Linked DNA regions of Caenorhabditis elegans. The protein of the gene in region 1 interacts with the protein of each later gene in a pairwise test. Each region holds a gene or a part of one and is shown in the gene's direction. Other genes may lie near its edges. The genes, in order: paa-1, T09B9.4 and T22D1.5.

What was found.
Region 2: the proteins of paa-1 (region 1) and T09B9.4 interact in a two-hybrid assay, tested with the Caenorhabditis elegans proteins (one large-scale study listed by BioGRID).
Region 3: the proteins of paa-1 (region 1) and T22D1.5 interact in a two-hybrid assay, tested with the Caenorhabditis elegans proteins (one large-scale study listed by BioGRID).

The regions. Positions count from the first base shown.
Region 1 is NC_003281.10:5,447,546-5,454,711, forward strand, and holds paa-1 (putative serine/threonine-protein phosphatase PP2A regulatory subunit), read left to right. Parts: upstream 1-3,184; 5' UTR 3,185-3,195; coding exon 3,196-3,704; intron 3,705-3,755; coding exon 3,756-4,615; intron 4,616-4,662; coding exon 4,663-4,880; intron 4,881-4,933; coding exon 4,934-5,013; intron 5,014-5,057; coding exon 5,058-5,149; intron 5,150-5,203; coding exon 5,204-5,217; 3' UTR 5,218-5,592; downstream 5,593-7,166. Other genes in the region: skpt-1 (F-box domain-containing protein), read right to left, coding at 1-79, 123-447, 495-576, 620-698; F48E8.8 (Hsp20/alpha crystallin family protein), read right to left, coding at 1,293-1,420, 1,468-1,653, 1,809-1,929, 1,975-2,091, 2,187-2,267; F48E8.4 (MRH domain-containing protein), read left to right, coding at 6,061-6,354, 6,621-6,774, 6,827-6,999. UniProt on the Caenorhabditis elegans protein: Acts as a scaffolding protein for phosphatase let-92 and its regulatory subunits.
Region 2 is NC_003284.9:9,770,116-9,777,704, reverse strand, and holds T09B9.4 (uncharacterized protein), read left to right. Parts: upstream 1-3,352; 5' UTR 3,353-3,367; coding exon 3,368-3,431; intron 3,432-3,477; coding exon 3,478-3,538; intron 3,539-3,607; coding exon 3,608-3,941; intron 3,942-4,071; coding exon 4,072-4,631; intron 4,632-4,677; coding exon 4,678-4,907; intron 4,908-5,163; coding exon 5,164-5,233; intron 5,234-5,279; coding exon 5,280-5,547; 3' UTR 5,548-6,008; downstream 6,009-7,589.
Region 3 is NC_003282.8:6,900,981-6,907,173, forward strand, and holds T22D1.5 (EF-hand domain-containing protein), read left to right. Parts: upstream 1-2,969; 5' UTR 2,970-2,997; coding exon 2,998-3,048; intron 3,049-3,099; coding exon 3,100-3,245; intron 3,246-3,291; coding exon 3,292-3,496; intron 3,497-3,545; coding exon 3,546-3,661; intron 3,662-3,709; coding exon 3,710-4,209; intron 4,210-4,261; coding exon 4,262-4,419; 3' UTR 4,420-4,566; downstream 4,567-6,193. Other genes in the region: T22D1.8 (SRCR domain-containing protein), read right to left, coding at 1-70, 124-270, 1,818-1,885, 1,933-2,125, 2,171-2,345, 2,392-2,503, 2,549-2,644; T22D1.17 (Col_cuticle_N domain-containing protein), read left to right, coding at 5,017-5,190, 5,280-5,399; rpn-1 (26S proteasome non-ATPase regulatory subunit 2), read right to left, coding at 5,656-5,744, 5,794-5,935, 5,981-6,091, 6,138-6,193.

The DNA.
Region 1 (7,166 bases):
GATCGAGAAGCTCCAAGCGGGAGGTGCTCAGCAGTGCAACTTCGACGAGCCGTTCATCGGCACGAAGGATTCGATCGGCCTGGAAACAGTTAGTTTTATAGGAAATAAAATAAAATTCTCACTTTAGCTCCTGCCAGACGAAGAACTTTGATTTTTCGTTGTGACAACGCAATCAGTGAAATTTCGGAAATAGGACGATCCTGGGCGTCGGTGATAATCCAATTTCTCGATTTGTGTCCGATTCCGTAAAAACGATGACAGACGAGCATCGCCGAGAGAAGATCCTTCTTTTTCAAATTGGAAAAGATTTGTTCAGTGATCTCATCGGGAATACTGTACTTTTTGAACGGATTCTGAATACTGCGTGCGTCTTTTCGCTTGATCGGAGCGATTTCATCTTCTACGAGATTTTTGCAATTCAGATTTATCGACTTTAGCTTTTCGGAGCTGAAATGTCGTAAAATTAAGAAAATTAAGAGATAATTGCAGCTTACTTTCCGGAAACTGAAAGCCTGAGGCTTTTCTTTGGATAGAGGTTGTAGCATGGAAAGATGGAGATGGTCTCATCTGAGAATACTTTGAAAAAGTCAATCATATTTGAATTTTGACACACAATTACCTGTCTCCACGCAATGCTCATTTTCAGAGGGTCCGTTATCTTCTAGAGTTGATGGAAGTCTTCCTATGACACGAGACATTTTGTTTGAGTAGATATGAGGTGTAGTATTTAGGTGGTAAATAAGGGAAAAAGCACTTTCTGCTTGAAATAAATTCAAAACAGGGCTGATTTGAATAAATATGAACTCGCGGGCGCGGTAATCTTTTTTAGGTTGGCGCGAGTTTTTGCAATGCAAACGCGCTCCACCGCAAATCTGAATTTTCGAACATTTTTCGCCAATTTTTATCCTTATTTTTTTATTTTTTGCAATATTTCGCTATTTTTATTTGTTTCTCCCACCAAAAGCGCACATTTTTAAATCAAAATACGATTAAATAAAAGTAATATAACTTTTTAAATAAGTCCAAATAACCTTTAAGCAAAGTAAGGGTCGAATCTGAAACTATTTCTTGAAAACAACTTTTTTGTCTCATTCATCGAAGATTGGTTGTATTCGGAAGTGAGAGGTTGACAAGTTTTTTAAAATCCATTTTATTAATTATTCCGAAATACACATTTAGTTCCAATAGTTTCGAAATTTAAAACGTTTGAGTCATCCTTCATTTTTTCTGCCTAGTTGCTGTGATCATTTGGAGAGAGTATAAGAATTTATTAATCATTTCGAAAAAAAAAATCATTTTTGAATATCCTGTATCATTCTATTAAACTTGAAGTTATTCGGCCGGTGTTGAACAATTTGCTCCTCATTGGCGATCATTTCGTTATTCTGATTTCTTCGATTATAACGGAAGGAGAGTGGATCTGAATTTACAGTAGATTTTAAATTGGTTTTTCTTGAATTTCCTCACCTAATTTTTGTAGTGGAACAGGCGCTATGTCCACCGGCTCTGCAATATTGTTCAAGCCGATCGAGCGATTTGCGTAGAGATTTATTTCATTAAAGATATAATCATCTGACAAATTATCTGGCACCCCTCGTTTTCTTTTAGAAGTTTCCTCGATAGGTTCGGTTACAATTACATCGGTTTGTTGAGCTGAAATAGGATCCAAATTATCAAATATCCTTCTCTATTCATGTTATAAATCTTGGTTGTAAGAACAGTTAACATAATTAGTAACAATTAGAAACCTGATGTGATTAAGATTCTATCACTGTTTTTAAATAGTAAAATAAATAATTTTGACATACGTATATTGATAACTTCTCCTCTTTGTAACGCCTCAATCAATGCATCCAAATCAAGATCTCCATCACCTTGAGCCTCACGCAGTGCTCTCTCCTTTCGAAGCCTTTCCTTCAGTCGTTTAATCTGTCATTAAGCCACTAGTATACACCTTGGAGAGCCACCACAAACCTGCTCGGCTCGTCGCCGTCTACTTTCCTTATCTATCTCCTCTTCACGCTTGCCGTCTGCCCATTTGTTGAAGCTGAATGTGTTGAACACATTCGCACCGTCTCCCATTGTACTGTTCTGTAAATATATAAACTGAGCTAATGAGAAGAATACGTACTAGAGCACCACGCTTTTGCGAAAAATGAGAACCAAAAGCTCGATTGTGCACTCACTTTTGCATATTTTATTAAAGCTTTTGACGTCCTTTTCTCTTTTGTTCGCCTGTTTGAAATTTTTGAAAACCAGGAAACCATGATGATTTTAAATGTTTAATGATGTTCTTCTAACAGCATGCCCACGCGTTTTGCCTGAAAATTCGAATCAAATTAATTTTCAGCCTTTTTATTGTTTAAATATCAGAAAAAAACTGGCTGTTCACTAATCACGTGATGCCTGTGTTTTCATCCTCCCTTCTACACTGAAAATATTCTATTTTAAGGACATTTTCAGTCATTTTCCGGCGCTGTTCCCTCTGTCGTCGCCACGTCCAGTACACCGAAACCGACGACAAATCGATGAGAGCTCTACGACCGCAGGCGCGATGGATTGTGCTATTGCAGTGAGAGAGAGATGGCCGTTCTCTGCTTCTCTGCGTATCACTGTCGCAGCTGTTTCTCTTCTTCTCCTTTCGCCGCTCTTTTTTTGCATGTTCGTCAGGTTCACTATAGCGATTTCTTAATATCGAAATTTCACGAGTTTCAGAGTTGATTTTCGAAAGATCAGTGAAAATATTGTCCACGTGGTAGAGTTTTTCACTGATTTCTCGAAAATTCCAATAGTTTCTTTAAAAATCACACTCTTCTTCTTTGAACAATTCCATTTCATTGATTTTCTATATTTTCGTACAGAAATAATAATGTTTCAACAAAAATATGTTTTCTAGCACTGAACATTCTTAAATTTGAATTTAATTTTCTTAATATCAGATATTCAAAGATGACTATTCGTAGATTCTGCAAGTTCTTTCAAAATACTCAATTTTTCTATTTTCTCTCCAATTTATTTCTCCAAAAACCACCCGGTAATCAATATTTCAACACATTGCTGTGTTATCTTCACTGCGTCTCCTCTCTCTCTCTTGTTCTCCTCATGCCCGATGATAATCCGTTTCTCTTCCCGTTCTTTCTCCTTTGAATAGCCGCGAGATTAATTTTCATAAAACAAATTTCAGCACTCTTCATCATGTCGGTTGTCGAAGAAGCCACTGACGACGCGCTCTACCCGATTGCCGTGCTCATTGACGAGCTGCGCAACGAAGATGTCACGTTGCGACTGAACAGCATTCGCAAACTCTCCACAATCGCTTTGGCGTTGGGTGTGGAGCGCACACGCAACGAGCTCATCCAATTTTTGACCGACACGATTTACGACGAAGATGAGGTTCTGCTTGTGCTCGCCGAGCAACTCGGAAATTTCACTCCATTGGTCGGTGGTCCAGATCATGTTCATTGTCTTCTCCTTCCACTTGAGAACTTGGCCACAGTCGAGGAGACCGTGGTCCGTGACAAAGCCGTTGAGAGTCTCCGCAAAATCGCCGACAAGCACAGCTCGGCCTCATTGGAGGAGCATTTCGTGCCGATGCTCAGACGTTTGGCCACTGGAGACTGGTTCACATCCCGTACCTCGGCTTGTGGGCTTTTCTCTGTTGTTTATCCACGTGTCAGTCCAGCTATCAAGTCGGAATTGAAGAGGTGAGAATTAAGAAAAGAATAACTAAAGCAATCTAAATTAATTATTTTCAGCATGTTCCGAACCCTGTGCCGTGATGACACCCCAATGGTTCGCCGTGCTGCTGCTGCAAAGCTCGGAGAGTTCGCAAAGGTGTTTGAGAAGACTGCCGTCATCGAGGGTCTCCACTCCAGTCTCACTGATCTTCATGTTGATGAGCAAGATTCTGTTCGTTTGCTCACTGTCGAGTCAGCCATCGCTTTCGGAACTCTCCTCGATAAGGCTAACAAGAAGAAACTCATCGAGCCAATTCTCATTGAATTGTTCGATGACAAGTCGTGGAGAGTTCGTTATATGGTTGCCGAGAAGCTTATCGAGATTCAGAATGTCCTCGGTGAGGATATGGATACCACACATCTCGTTAACATGTACACGAACCTTCTCAAGGATCCAGAGGGTGAGGTTAGATGTGCTGCCACTCAGAGACTTCAGGAATTCGCTCTCAACTTGCCAGAGGACAAGCGTCAGAACATTATCTGCAACTCACTGCTCAACGTTGCCAAGGAATTGGTTACTGATGGGAATCAGCTCGTCAAGTCGGAACTCGCCGGTGTCATCATGGGACTTGCTCCACTGATTGGCAAGGAACAAACTGTCTCTGAGCTTCTCCCAATCTACATGCAGTTGCTTAACGATCAAACCCCAGAAGTTCGCCTCAATATTATTTCCAGTCTTGATAAGGTCAATGAAGTGATCGGAGCAGCTCAATTGTCCACATCCCTCTTGCCAGCCATCGTTGGATTGGCCGAGGATGGAAAATGGAGAGTTCGACTCGCAATTGTTCAATTCATGCCACTTCTTGCTTCCCAGTTGGGACAAGAATTCTTCGATGAGAAGTTGCTTCCGCTTTGTTTGAACTGGCTTACCGACCATGGTAACTTGATTTTTTCTTAAAAATGTTTTTAATTTAATTTTTTCCAGTGTTCTCAATCCGCGAGGCATCGACCCTCATCATGAAGGAACTGACACAGAAGTTTGGAGGACAATGGGCTAGCACGAATATTGTACCAAAAATGCAGAAACTTCAGAAGGACACCAACTACCTGCAGAGAATGACATGCTTGTTCTGTTTGAATACACTCAGTGAGGCGATGACTCAGGAGCAGATTCTGAAGGAGATTATGCCAATTGTGAAAGATGTAGGGAAATTTTACTTTTTTATTTAAAGAAATCGTAATTTTTCTAATTTCAGCTTGTCGAGGATGACGTGCCGAATGTCAGATTCAACGCCGCAAAGAGTTTGAAGCGAATTGGAAAGAACTTGACCCCAAGGTGACAGGAAAATCTTTTTCACTATCCCAATTTTCTATTTTCAGTACATTGACGTCCGAGGTGAAGCCACTGCTCGAGAAGCTCGGAAAAGATTCAGACTTTGACGTTCGATACTTTTCAGAGGAAGCCAAGAACTGTAAGTTTCAGTTGTCTTAAAATTTAGAGTGAATTTGAAATTGAACATTTTCAGCACTCGGCTTGTAATCGAACATATCGCTAGTCAAATTGGAATCTCTACATCTTCCACTTCTCAATCGTCTTATTTTTCCATTTTTGTTCCCGAGCACGCGAATAATCTCTATCTCTCCTCATTCATTTGTAAATGTTTAGCCCTCGAGACAAAACTCTGTATTGTAATAGTTCTAACCACCGTCCCTCCCACAACAAAACAATACAAATTATAATCGTTAAATTATGCGACCTCTCTTTATGATTATTTTCATTTTCCTCCCACTTCTATCCCGTATATTTCACCATCCTACTTCTTTCTGTTCTTTTTCCACCACACACAATCACCACTTTTTCCATTGCGACCCATTCATTCATTTATTTTTTTTGCAGAATAAAAGGTCATCGTCTATTATGAGAAAAAAGGTCTCAGGTTAGGTTAGATCAGTGTGGTTGAAATCTCTGAAAATATTTGGAATAATGGTGTTATCCGGCGTATGCCACGTCGCAGAAGCTTTTGAGCAGAGAATCTCGGTGCTTTTGCAACGTGGATTAAATATTGCTCAAGTTGCAAGCGTTGTGAAACGTCTCATTCAAATAAAAAATTTACTTTTGCCATTTGGAACTTTGAAACCATCTTTTTGGCCGTTTGGCAAATCCAGCTGGCAAAGAGCGGGCATAAATTTATATTAAACGCGCAGTTTCCCGATTGATTGTCTCAGAAACTTCCAGTGCTCAGATTTTGCCACGTGGCTAGAAGTTTTCGTTGCCAAAATTATTTTTTCCAATTAAAAAACTGTTCGCATTTACTTTTCAATTTTTCAATTCAATCGGAGAATTGTTTACGTAGTTTCTCTTTGCAGGTGCTATGCCAAGACGATGATAATTTATTTCCTCCAACTATTCCTGCTGCCGTCCACGACCGCCACGGCAGGCGTATTTGACCTTGCAGAGTACCGACGGGTCTCTTATGACGCGAATATTGGCGAGAATTTTCTTTGGTTCGCCCCGGAATTGGATATTCGAAAAGTTACAGCCAGCAATATTGATGATCTCGAAAAGCGAATTGTTAATCGGATTCCCGATGACTCGACCGAGCAGAATTTGATGTTTGTGACGAGTAAAGGAGGGCAGAAGTTTGCATGTTCTTTGCCAGATGTGGAAGATGTTAAGGTACACATTTTTAGATTAAATATTGTGCTTTGTTGTAAAAATCGGCAAAAATTTGTAGCGTGTTGTTTACAGTTGACTTTAGGTGTTCTTTGTTTCATTACAGCGATAATATTAGTTCGAAAGTCACGTTTTCGAGTTTTTCGCTTAATTTTTTAAATTTTCACCATAATTTATAAACAATCAGTGAAAATACGCTAATAAGAGTTTTATTTCAGTATTCAGACATTAAAAACGCATAAACGGTCTCAAATATTGTCTGGTTTCAGAAAGACAAACCAAAAAGCAGCAAGAATCCGAAAATCTATGGAGACGCGCTCGCCGCAAGCTTTTACGTGGACAAATGTGTGAAACTACGTGGTAATCACTGGTGGTCTTATATTCTGTGCCGTGGACAGACAATTGAGCAAGTGCACGGAGAACGTGAGTGTCAATAATAGGAAAATAAACCAATCAATATACATATATATTGCAGCTGGTCAGGAGGGATATGTAAAGAATATACTCGGATTGTTCGATGGAAGTCTCAAAATGCCATCCTATCAAGAATCAACGGATGATCGATTGCTTTTCGTCGAGGAAACGTACACGAGTGGGACTTTCTGTGATTTGGAGGAATACAGGGAGCCACGGATGACTTCTGTTCGGGTATTATATTAAAAAAAAAAGACATTTTACCGCTCTAACTACGGGATTGTTACTTTAAAACGATTTTTGAAAAAATGTATACAACATTTTTTACTTTAAAATACTAATTTAATTTTTGAGAGAAATATCAACATGGCTAAAAATCTTCATTTTTTTTGGAAAGTTCA
Region 2 (7,589 bases), on another chromosome or scaffold:
CGCTATCGCTATCTGATTCTTTTTCAAAATCCGGCGAACTCTTCTTCCTCCCCTTTATCGTGCAGACAACAACAACAGAAATATACACAAATAAAGAAAAAAATTAAACGATTTGGAGGGAGATTGAAAATACTTATTTTGCCACCAAGCTTTGGAGTATTTGTGGATCCAATCCAAAAAACATGAAAATTATCTAAAAAAAGATGAAAACTCAGTGAAGATAGAATATGCAGAGTGTATACACTTCTCGCCAAATTGGATTCGCAGAAAAATTGGCTGCCTCGAGCAAACATGTTTTTGGTATGCATGGGTCAAGAAGTTTTTAAAAAAATTTCATATTTTCACTTATGGAGTAGAAAAAACAAGATCAAAGAAACATTTTTTTAAAATAATAGTTTCAAATTCAAGATGAACATAATGAACATCCTTGATTTTGCTTCATTGAAGGTCCACGTCATGTGTAGGCTCATAAAGACAGGAACGCAAACCTTTTCTCGAACATTTCTTGTCGGGAAATGGACATGCACAATCTGGAAAACATGTTATTGTACTCATAAATCCACTCAAATTTGTTCTAACATATCATATTCGGTCATGCAGCCATCCGAATTATACCGCTTTCTTCTAAAATTTTTTTTTGTTCAGTGCAATTTTCAAACTTTTTAATTAAAACTTCATAGCGTTTAAAAGGTCGCATTTTGACTTTTCTTCATTAAAAATGTTCTTCCTTGTGCCTATCATATCATTGGAAAATTATTTTCTTCAACGATGTTCATTTATTGATTATTTGAATCCAAACAGTGTAACTTTTTGAACATATGAAGCTGCTTTAAATTTTCTAAGAAGGTCAATTTTGCGTAAACTTTCTCAGTTTGTCGAAAGTTTAAAAAAAATTAAAATTGTCAATTACATCTTATTAATTTCATGATTTTTTTTTAACAAACACCAAAAATGTTACATTGAAGAATGTTCTTATAAGCAATAATTAATATATCAAATGATAATTTCAACTTAATAAATGGATTAAAACTGATATTCGCATATATGTCGAACAAATAGAATTAGTTCGGATTAAAACGGGGAATTTGATTCTTTGATCGACAAAGTCTTTTTTTTTCATTTCCAGTGAAAATAATTTTTTCACTTTTCAATATTCACATTCCCACTGTTTTTAGACTGACAACGTTGTTTGATATTTGTAAATATAAAACAAACGCAATCGATATATAAATATCTGGTTTTTGCATTTTATGACACCACAAATTTTTTATTATCGCCAAACCTTGAAGTTTAAATACGGAAATATTTAAATAGAAATGGAATTATTAAAATCTTCCATCCATTTCCCAATCCAGTTACATAAAATCATATTTGTTCAAGACGCATTTTCCAAGATTTCGGATTTCGTCCCGTGTTTTTTTTAAATTTTTAGTTTGATGAAGTGACCGCTTTCAGGGATGTTGAAAAATATAAATTCTGAATGGAACTTCAGTCTCCAAATAAATTCATAATGTAAATATAATTCAAAAATTTTGATGTATTTCTGCTTTGTCGGTTTTTTCTTCAAAATTCCAATTCAGCTCAGATCACAAAAAAAGAGCCCTCGCGTGTTCATGAAATGTCAATTGTCCGGGCCACAAGCATAAACCCACAAAGCGTTCAATTTCCACGCCGTCAACGAGTGCCTCCACTTCTTAACGCCTTCAATTTTGCCGCTCGACATTTTTTTTTTCACGGCAACAGAAAATGAATGTTCTTTTTCCATTCAAAATTTATGTTTTATACATTCGTTTAAATTTTGATTTTTAGTTTTTCAGGCTCAAATTATTGCTTGCAAAAATGCTCAGCATGAAGATAAGGAACTGCGGACAAAACCATGTAGTAAGTAATTTTGATAGTTTCAATTTTGCATCTAAAAATGGACTGCCAATGAAGAAGTTACTGCTGTAAATTACTCAAAAAGAGGCTTAAGTGAAGATATTTAGAATTGGAGCCAAAATTTTCAAAACTAGTTTTTTGTATTTTCTTTCTGACACTGTTTAACATTCAGAAACAGTAATAATTTGCGTTCAATTAAAATTTCTCATTTAGATTTTGAAACATAGAATTTAGGAATATATTCAAATTGAAAACACGTTTGCATCAGATTTTTAGTTTTAATCAATGTTTTCTTGTTCTTTTTTGGTTATTTCTGGCATACCGTGGTCAATAAATTCATTTAAAGACAAGATAATAACAAGTGACAGTACATCTTGATGAATTTTTTTTCTGTTCATATAAACTCAATGTGACATTTCAAAAAATATTGGGATATTATACATCAAATCTATAAGTACAATAGCAAACATACTCTTTTCAAAATATCGCTAACTGTAGGAGATTTCAACGTGATTTTGATTTATTATAAGTTTATGATAATTTTGAATAAATATTTTTAAAAAAAAGTATTTTATTTAAGTGCCTTCGTTGTTACAAAACCGTTCTCCTTAGCTTTAGAGTGTGATATCATTCATAGAACGGTTTAAGAAAAAGCGTGAGAACCAGTCTATGTGCAAACACTCAAAAGATACCTAATCCACTTTCATTACTCATCAGTCAACTGACCTGTCCCAAATTTTAAAACTCTCTCTCTCCTTCTTTCTCACTTGGTTTCTCCCTCTTACCCTCGTTGAGAATGGACAATTCAGAGGGTCACTTTGCCTGTCTGCGTGTGAGTGCATTGTGAGTATTTTTTGATGTTGTGAGCGGGTGTGCATCAGACAGACTCTCCTACGTGGCAGGAAGGGTACGCAAATCTCCTCATCTCATTGCCTTCATTTGCGTTTCTCATTTTGTCCTTCTTTTCAATTTGGGGGTGGTATTTCTTTTTTCTTGGTTTCACTATAAGGAAAAACAACTCGTCAATTGTTTTTTTTTGTTCAAAAAAATCTCAACCGGGATTCAAAAGTGGTCTAACAAAATTTTTCTTTAAAACTATCACCAGCCTAAAAACGTGTCGTCGAAAAGTGCTATCAAAAAACAGAAAACGTTTTTGAACGGAAATGGTTTGATAAGCAACGAATGTCATTGCTTTTTTTGATTTTCAAATTATCAAAATGATATTGTTCAGCCACATTCTTTTAACAAAAAAAAAACGTTTGGGAAAAAATATTAAAAAACCCCCCTGCAGCAACACACCAATCCTCCCTCTCTCTCTCGTCTGCAGACACAAAAATGCAAGCGCGCCCTACCGAACAATGTCTCCCCCTTCTTTTTTTCGAACGCATATGCATTTGAACAGTCGTTCGTGTGCTCATTTCTTTCTAGTCTTTGCCAATCCCTTGCTGTTTCCAGGCTAAATTCTGATTTCCAGGTCAAAAACCTCATAATGGAGCACCCAAAGCGTCCAACACCCAAAAACGAGGCTCTGCACATTGATGCATCAGGAAGAGGTTGTTTTTTTACTTTTCTTGTAAAATCGATAATGATTAATTTCAGGTGAATCATCATTTTCTGTTCACCGAAGCCACTCCGGCGGTCACGAACCGTTTGCTCCTAGGTATGTGCACAAAGTTATTTTATGTTCCGTAAAGACTGCTACTGACGTTTTAAATTTGATAAATTTTAGCCCAGGATCGTCAATTGGTGCCAGCGTATCCATGTTCTCCTCCCGCAATTCCGAGGCCGAGGTTGGCGACGCTGAGGATCTAGACGGAGTTCGCACAATTATGATGAACATTGGTGTTCCCGATTTGCTTGCCGACAGGGAAATTCAAATGAGATACCCCGAGTTCTACCAGTTTTTGCTTGCTGAACAGCCAACGTGGTTCGAACCAGCACCGTCTAATGGAACTGTCTACCGTGTTCATCATACGACACCGCTGCCTGATAATCACAAGAAACTGCGCAAAGAATTGCCATTTGAAATGCTTGATCTCATGTATCGCTTTTTCCGTCAAAAGGTGGGACTTGGTTCATTTGTTTATTGATTATCGACTTTGAAGATGTCTCACCTTTCATTCAAGCAAAACTTAAATTGAAAAAAATAACAATGAATTTTCATTTGTTGAGTTTATTGTTTCTTCCTTACAGCACGTCAACTCTCAGCGAAAACGCGAGAACAAGGAGCTCCTGGAAGCAAACAAGCAGCTCCGCATTGCTGCTGTCCAGATGTTCACCAAAGCCGAGCAAGAGGAAGAATATATCTCCAACTCTTTGCTCAAAAAGATCCAGCAATTGAACCAAGACAAGGATTATCTTGTCAAGAAGTACCAAAAAGATGAGGAGTCTCTCACCAAATCTCTCATGGCAAATGTCGCCAAGATACCCGATGTTCATGGAGATGAAGCTGCTGCCGAGAAGCTTATGGCTGACAAACAAGCAGAGATAGAGCGTCTTCGCACGTACTGTAGCCGCGCTGAAAAAAGCTATCAGGAGGAATTGATGCGCCTCCGTGCTGAAAAAGTTGATCATGAATCAGCTTTGGAGCAGGAGCAAGAGTTGCTCATCAATACACTGGGAAAGAGAATGAGCCAGATGAACGAGGAGAAGCGGAAGTTGCAACAAGCATTGGAAATGGCCTACTTGAACGGTTTTGTCGATTTCGACGACACTGTCGAAGTGGCACTTCATGCATCTGCCTCCCAGAAGTAGTCAGTTTTAAAAATTGTTGTAGCCAGACAAATAAGTTTTTTTCAGTAATGGTAACTCGCCTAATGTCAGCGCCAATTCTCCAGTGGTCAACACCAACTCGCCCGCAGTCAGCACCAGCTCGCCACTTGTTAGAAACACTGACCAACAGTCCACTTCTTCTTATCGTCAGCAACTCAACGAAACTGCCCATTTGCACATTGAAAACAAAAAGCTTGTTGGAATGTGCAATCAGGAGAGACGTCGATCGCAAGCTACAGAGGCTGAAGTCAAAAAATGTTAGTGAAAAAAAATTTGAAAACATCTTGTTGTTATTTATTGAATTACTAAAAGTGCTCTTCCTATGTTAAATCAAAGGAAACCTATGCATGTTTGGGATGGATCAACATAGTCTTTATCTCTTTTAAGTCTTTATCACCTGAATGGAAGTTCAAAGAGACGTTAAGGTTGCAGTTCTCAGCCTACATTTATCTCACTTTCAATTCAATTTTATTCGTATTTATTTTGTTTACCAACAAAATATCTTACTTTCAGTGAATCAACGCATGTCGAAGATGGAGGCTGTTTTGGAAGCTATTCGTATCGAAGCCGTTCGCACTGATGGGTTAGTTTACTTTTAAATAGGTTGAGCGAACAAATAAAAATTTCAGACCTCTTGCTTGGCGACTTGCTGCATTGAGCCATGACAACAGCATAGATGAGCCTCCTCATCGAATGCTTGCCGAGAGAAGAGCACATGGATCCTCTCCTCCGACCGTCGTTGTTCAGCCTAGCACAAGCCGTGCAGGATCGAACTCAACTGCTAACATCAACAACGATACGCATCCGCACGCTCAGGTTGCACCGATCCTGGCAACTGTGCACCCAACTCAGAGAGCCACTCCGGCTAGAAATGAGAGACCAGATTCTCATTACTAGACCATATCCCCCGATGACAAAAAAAAACACTTCCCATGCACATTTACTCGAATACATCATCCGACGATTTGTTTTATAGAACCCAATGCTTAGCTAGCCTTGTTCCCAATGAATTAATCACTTTGTCCCAATAATCATTAGGTATACACATTTACATGTGTCTTTCCCTCAAATATGTTAAATCACATCCAGCATCCCTCCACCGGTCTTTTGTTCTTTTAAATGCTCCTGTTCATTATACCAAGTAGACTCATGCTTAACCGCTTGATGCATAATGTTGCGGAATATTGAACATACACCCATCCCACCGCGTCTTCCCGTCCCGTTTTATATTTTCATTCGGTTTTATGGCTCCCACATTTATTCTTGAAAGCTTTGAAACGTTGATTTGATTTTTCATTGGGCTGATTCGTTTCTCTCATATGGATCTGTTTTATCGATTCATAAAGTAATTTTCCTTGTTCACTTGTTGGAAAAGCATCAAAATATGTTTTTTACAGGGCTAAAGTTGAAGTGAAATCAATTCGCATAAATCATGCATAAATCAAAAAATGTCAAAATCTAATCGGATTTTTTAAAAGGCTGTTCGTAATTTGTTAATTTAGAACGGCAGTTTTAATATATTTTTTAAAAATATATTACAGTGTTAAATTCATGGGAATTATTGGGATGTAGTGGGGTAGTAGTAATTTTTGAAAACATTTAGTGAGATAATGAAAAAACAAATCGAATTTATTTTGAATATCAAACACACAAGTAGTATAAAATTACAAATTCCATAATGAGCAATTATTGTAATGATTTTTTTAAATTATTTCAAGCTATTTCAAAATCATTGTCAGTCCCTTTTTAAAACCAAATGTGATTTTTCTCAAAAAAAAAAAACCAAAAAATCTCCGAATAGAAAATACTTTCAAATTTAACAATTTTCAGAGTATCATGTAAAAGTTGTTAGACGTTAATCGGAAAATTGTCACAATGTTATGAATAATTGCAATAAAAGGTTTTCAAATGTCTGTTGAATTTTTATTAAAATACTTGGCTTTGATAAATTAACAATATCAAAGCACTGTGTCAGTGTATAAATAGTAGTGGAACGGCTAATAAAATACATTAGAAATTAACTTATTTTTAAAAGAAGCCTTCACTCCCTTGCGAAAATATTGCTTATCGTGTACGTTTTTTTAAATGTACGTTCAATACAAATTTTTTATGCATTATGCAATCTAAACTACTTTTGCTCATTTTTTGAAATGATAAACAAGTATGAAAAAAAGAAGAGAATATTGTTACGTTATTACGGATTCGAAATTTGTGTGCTATTGTTTTTATCACTGCGTCAAAAATTGTTGTTTTGATAAGTAACTAACTAGCAATACATTTTCAGTTAAAATACCAATGTACCACCACAATCACATGAAAGACAAATATGGGTACTAACAACTTTCAGGATGCCCATGTGTAAAGGATTAGGCGGTATTATGTGTCACCCCAACCACTAATGACTAAATTTAACAAAAAAAACAATCAGAAACGTTTTATATGTTATGCAATTTTTGGTTTTTTTTTTGAATTTGCGAATTTAGTAACGAAAACATGGGTTTTAAAGAGTATACACAAAATTAGTACACTTTTATATGAATCAGACGATGAGTTGTAGTACAGACGGAACCTTCGCACCATCTTTTTTCACCTATTATTTTGTCCAGCTGAGTTTTTTTGTACGGAGTAAAATGAAAACCTAGCATTATGTTGCCACATGACGTAGATTTTACAGTTATAGTTTTTGGAAAAAAAACCCTGGTAAAACCGTTTTTGACAGTAGCGAAAGAAATAGTTTTTTGAGATTCAAAATTCTTGTTTTTTTAAAAATCCGAGTTCACAGTTTTTACTTGTCAATACTCCCACATAAAACAATTGTTTGAGGGTAAAAATCAAACACTTACTCTTAGTTTTAACTATTATGAACATTTTTTCACTTCCTTAAAAATGACACCCAGGTTTATCAAATGAACAATTTGCGATAAAAATTCCATATTTTT
Region 3 (6,193 bases), on another chromosome or scaffold:
AAGACAATTCACAAATCCATCGGTTCGATTCTCAGGGAAGAAGTAAAAATCAGTTTTCGAACAGTTTCCTCTATACATAAAAAGTTCTTTATAACTTAAAAATTTATAAGAAAACCATCAAACCTTGTGAAATAAGCATCTAATAGTTGACTTTCATAAAATTTTCTGAAGTACACCCTTCCTGTCGGTTTTCCAATTGGAGCTTCAAATGTTTTATTTATTCCAAGTCTTTGGGGAGAACTGATGCTCAACAGTTGATCGTTGGTGAATCTGAACATTGAAATCGGGATAATTATTTGATATATTATATGTTTTGATTTACGAGAAGGAAATATTAGCGTTTTCAAAGTTTATTTGCACAGTGGTGGAGTCCACCACTGCAAATTAGAGGTGGCTATAGGTCGACCTAGGTCGACCTGCGACCTAGAGGGTTAGGTCGCATCGCGACCTGCGACCTTGCGACCTGGGTCGCTTTGCGACCTGCGACCTAGCGACCTGGGTCGCTTTGCGACCTGCGACCTAGCGACCTAGGTCGCATTGCGACCTGAATTACCGACATTTTGTTCTCTTTCGGTTTTGATTCACTTGAGTTGTTAAAATCCGTATAACTCGAAAACTAAAGATTGCAGAATATGTATATTCCACTAACATTTTCTCTATTAAGATTTTATAAGTTTATGCGTTGTTTCTAAAATTTCATTTTCCACTTTTCAAATTAAAAACGTAGAAAAAAGCACAGAGCAAAGCATTGATTTCTACAAATTCTACAATTCTACAAAAAAAAAATTGAAATTTAGAAAGTTAAAACATTTCGGGGGGAACGAAACCCATAAGTACCATTGTTTTCAAGTTGAAACAATTTTAGTCGGCAACAAATCCGGCGGATGTCGGCTGTTCTAACTTTTTTCGACAAGGTGTGTTATGGATAAGAAATCGAAAACAATGTAAAATAAATGATTTGTAGCAATTTGTTAGTATACATATTCTGCAATCTTATGTAGTTTTCGAGTTATACAGATTTTAACAACTCAAGTGAATCAAAACCGAAAGTGCACAAAATGTCAGTACTTCAGGTCGCAATGCGACCCAGGTCGCTAGGTCGCAGGTCGCTAGGTCGCAGGTCGCAATGCGACCTAAATGAAAACAGCGACCTAGCGACCTAGGTCGCACTCTTGCCACCCCTACAATAAAATGTGAATATTCAATGTTCTCCACCTGGTGGAGAACATTGAATATTCACATTTTATTGCTAGTTTTTTTTTTGAAAACGTTGAGAAGGATGCTGGAAACCTTTAGAAACTAATTAAAAACTTAAGAAAATATTGGCCTAAAATATACAAACTCGGTGAATGTCAAAGGGAAAACTACCGTACCCTATAGTGTCCTAGCATTAAAGTACACTCAGTAGGAGATTTTATAATCACTACAATGCTGCTATAATGGGCAAAAATCATAGTAAAACTTTTAAAACCCTTTGATTCGTTTCATATTTACAGTTTAAAAAGTAAGAATTTCGAAGTTTTCACATTTTTGCATTACATTTTAATTGTTTGAATTTTAATATTTCAAGAGTTATATTTTCACAAAGTTGAATTTTTTAATATATTGGCGCAATGTTAAGAATAAGTTTCTCAAAAAAAAATATTAGTGAGATATCATTTAGCTATACTTTCATGAGAGTATTTATACAAAAGCCCAACTGGTGTTACTCTATCTTATAGAAAAACCAAATATCAAATCTACCAGATAAAAAAGACGGAAGTACGATAAGTTACGGTTGGTAACGTTACATGGAAAAGTAATATTTTCGAACTTACTCTAATTTCAAGTCTATTGTGGGATCTCCTGATTGATCTATGTCAAGCCTGTGCGGCTTTACTAGATGCTAAAAAATATCGACCAATTAAAACAATCATACTGCACACTACTTACTTTAGATCGTTCCCATTTTTCTGTTATTGTAAGTTCACCATATCCAACATTAACTTTATGAGCTTTTGTATGGTTTATAGCTTTACTTTTATCAACGTATCTATTGTAAATTGATAATTCTAAAAAAACTTGTTGCTCTGATCCTTTTTCCATATCTTCGATAATTGCATTAGATAGTTGGAAGACTTCCATTCTGAAAGCTATTAACATATTTCCATTTTTTGAATGTAATTCCTACGTTTTATTTTCCATTTTCAGTTTCAAGTGCAATGTGTCTCCGAGATGAACTGGTTGTGTCATAATCACACCATTTGGTATTTTGAGTTCTTCTAATTGATTATCTGATGAATTTTCAAAAACACACATTTTAGGACAAAAATCTGAATGAGGTGTACAGTTTCTGAATAGTTGCTCTAAAATAAAGTCTAGATTGAGAAATATTTTTAAAAACTGTTTTACCCTCAAAAAATTCCCTATTTTCATCCGTCAACACTGCAAGATTTCCATTGAGACTTTCGCAAACTTTTTGAGCATCTTCAGGGAATATAGCTAGTTCTGAATCTCCTACGAGCTGAAAATTACTACTTTTTCGATGCTAAAATTGAAAAATGCTCACCTTCAATTCTTGAGAACTTGCTTGGATCATAAACATAAATATTGTCCCGATAATCAGATTCCACCAATATTTTTGTATAACTGTTTGTTTATTCATTGTTATTTGTTAGGAAATGAATTGAAATGTGTTTACGTCTCTATAAAATGGTGTAAATAAATATTTTATCAAATGCTTCACGTGTTTTTAGTATTTTCTAGGCCTATTTTTTTGATTTTTGTAGTTTTCAAAGACACATGTCGCCACTCGTGAAGGTCTCGCGCGGAACGATCTACAGCTAGCCTCGAAAATTTTATTTTTAGTGACAAATTGTTTACGAAAGTCCATTTTAGTTCTTTTCTGCGTTTTATTACATCTTTTTCACTTTTTTATCCAGAATTTTTGTCTCAAATCAATTATAACATTTTAAGCATTTGCTTTTCAGTGTTCAAATACGCTCATCCCACGTGAAAATGAGCCAGCAGATTCAGATGAAGTCTGTTATTGATGTGAAGTTCCCGACGGTATGTTTATCAGCTCAGGAGAATATACTTTTCATTCTTGGAAATTTTCAGCATCTGTTTTCCCCGCTTGCCACGTCATCACCAAAACTCACGAGAATGAGAGCTCCGATTCGCGATCAGTCGTGGTCCTCTTGCTCGGATGACTCCAGCGGAAATCTGACGTCTCAAGCAATCACTGGAGTCGATGATTCGCACATGTTTGTTGAATCATCAGATTTATTTAAACATGATTTTTTGTTACAGAGAAGCGACGAAACTCGAAAATGAAAGCAGTACATCTTCGTGCTCAATGCACACTGCTTTGGAGTTTGTTAACTCATCAATTTTCGAAAGAGTGCGGTCGTATTCAGAAGTGATCACACGCGAAGAATTGCAGTCAGCTATTTTCGAGCGGAAACTGACTGAAACGGACTGTTCAAAGGAGGAAGCTGAAATGTATTCGATCATTGTAATTTTCTATTTTTCTAATTTAATTTTGTGTATCGATAACATTTCAGGTCACTGAGCGTATACTCTGGACTGCTGGGCGAACGTGGACGGGAACGATTCAAGTTAAGACTAAAGATCTTCTAAATGACTACGTGCGTTATGCATGCGAGGATTGGTACATGAAGTAATCGGCTATAATCTCAGATTAGTCATTTAATTATTAAAATTGTAGGCACACCGGACAACTCTGCGCAGTCGAGCTCAATCATATTGGCAAATGGGATGAGATATTTGATTCGAATGCCATCGCCATTTACTGCTACGAAACCGGTATTCCAACAATAATCGTCGACCGAATCTTCTCGAGTAACCTAGTGCGTCGTTCAACGGGAAACTATCTCGATACGAAAGAAGTGACGTGGCTCATATTTGCGATGATTGGGACTGACGAGAATCAATCGATCGAGTATTGGTTCCGCGTCCTTGATGTGCAATCTACAGGAATCCTTCAATTGGACGACCTGCGGATGTTCTACGATGCCATCACAAAGTTTCTTGTCAATAACAATGTGCAATCCCTGCCGTTCGAAAACGCTATCGCTCAATTTCGGGACATCCTTGGCACAGACAAATGGAATCTGCAATCATTCAAAAAGAACTCGCAACTTGCCTTCAGAGTGATCAATGGCTTTGTCTGCGCTCTTCGCTTTCTTGAGCAGGAAATTTGTGAGAGTATGTTTTAATAAGATAAAATGGTTGTTTATGTTAATAACACTGCTTTCAGAAACGAACACCGAACGCCAAGATGATGAGGAATTTGGGATGGTTCGGACTCGTTGGCAACGTTTGATCGACCACAAATTTGACGATTACTATGCTCAATCCAGCACGTCATCATCAGGGTCGTTCAACATCAATAACGAACCAATAAATCCTGTTTAAGTAATCCTAAAGTTTAATCATGTCAGATAATCATTCCCTATTGTATTTAATCGCCTGGTCCCATATCTTATGTGCAATTTTCACAAATTTCAGTATTCTTGTAAAATGTCAGGCGGATTCATGTAAACAATAAGATTGTTCCTGCTCATCTCGTTTTACTGAACCTGCAAGAATATTTTTGAAAAAAATTAATGGGTTTTCAAAACGATTAGATTGGTGGGAAATGTTAAAAACTATGAAATGGGCTTATAACATTATTTGTTAGATTTTTGTGCCGGAAATATGGTGACCGGGTCTCGTTACGATAATTTTTTGCTAAACACTGCACCTTTAAATAATACTGTGATTTCAAATGTTCAAACTGTTTTTTTTTGAATCACAAAAAGTCTAAAAGTTTACACAATTCACTTCTATAGTTCGTCAAACTGGTTAGTCTCTACAAATATCTCTAAATCTCTTCACTTTTTCTTATCTTTTATCACCTGTTTTCTGTAGTTTTCAATTCTTTGTCTAATTGTATTGGTCATTTGCTTCTTCTTTCTATTACTTTTCCATTTAATACATCAAATTTTGAAACTTTATAGTTTTTTCGAAACTATGAATACATCCGAATTTTTATACAAATTTCGTTTCATCGCTGATTTTGCTGCTATTGGAATTTTATGTTTTATGGCAATTATGACACTTGTTGTTATATATTTGACAAGTGATATTATTAATGAAATTGATGAAATGAAAGATGTTTTTATGGATAAAAAGGCTACTTTTGAGGTGAGTGTAATAATTCATTAAACTTTTCTAAAAACTGAAAAACTAAAATTTCCAAACTCACATTTGAACATTCTAAATTTTATTTCCAGATGTATGCGAACGATGCTGAAAATCTAATGTCGAACAATCGCCACCTTGACGGATTTTCTGATATATTCGATACTTTGATAAGGATACCTAGAAGATCTTCAAATTCCTGTGATCAATAAATATTAATACATATATAAAACCCAGGATGATAAGATTGAAAGTAATAATTTACTCGAATACCGTCCCACTCAAATTTAAAGTGTACACGTTTTTTTCAAAGAAAAAATGATGAGGGAGAGGGAAAATTGACAGAAAAACGGGAAATCGGGCAGAGAGCGAATGCAATCGGATTGTGCACAATAAAACGGGTCAAAACGGATAATTTAGATGGGAGAAAAGGGGGAGAAAAATAAATTAGATCCATAAATTTGTTGGTTACTTCTTAGTTGATACAACAACCGGCTGATAATCTGGATTCTTCTTCAAAATAACCAATCCTTCAAGATGTGGAGTCACAGAGAGATCTGAAATATTTTAGTTAAAAATTAATTATCAAATGTTAGGATGGCATACATTCATCGTTCGCCAACTCGGCACGTTCACCATGGGCAAGCAAGACTGGCGTAGTATGAGTTTGGAATCCAGTGATTGTCTTTGGCTTTCCGGCTTGAGCAACAACGTCAACGGCTTGACCAACACGAACAGAAACGTTCAACTGTAAAATCACATTGGAGAGTTGAAACTTTTAAAAAAATTATACCTGTTTCAAGCTTCCAGGCTTCATTTCGTCTTCTACCAGTGTGGTAAGCATTCTTGGTTGCATTGCGAGCACCAACGTGTAGAGCAAGTAATGCTGACGGTTGTTGAGAATCTAAATTTGAAATAAATTATGGTAGAAATATCAATCTTGCACTAACCGTGTTATTGGCGTCGAGGAAAGAGAAGCAAATTGAAAGGAGAGAAGCCAAAGCAC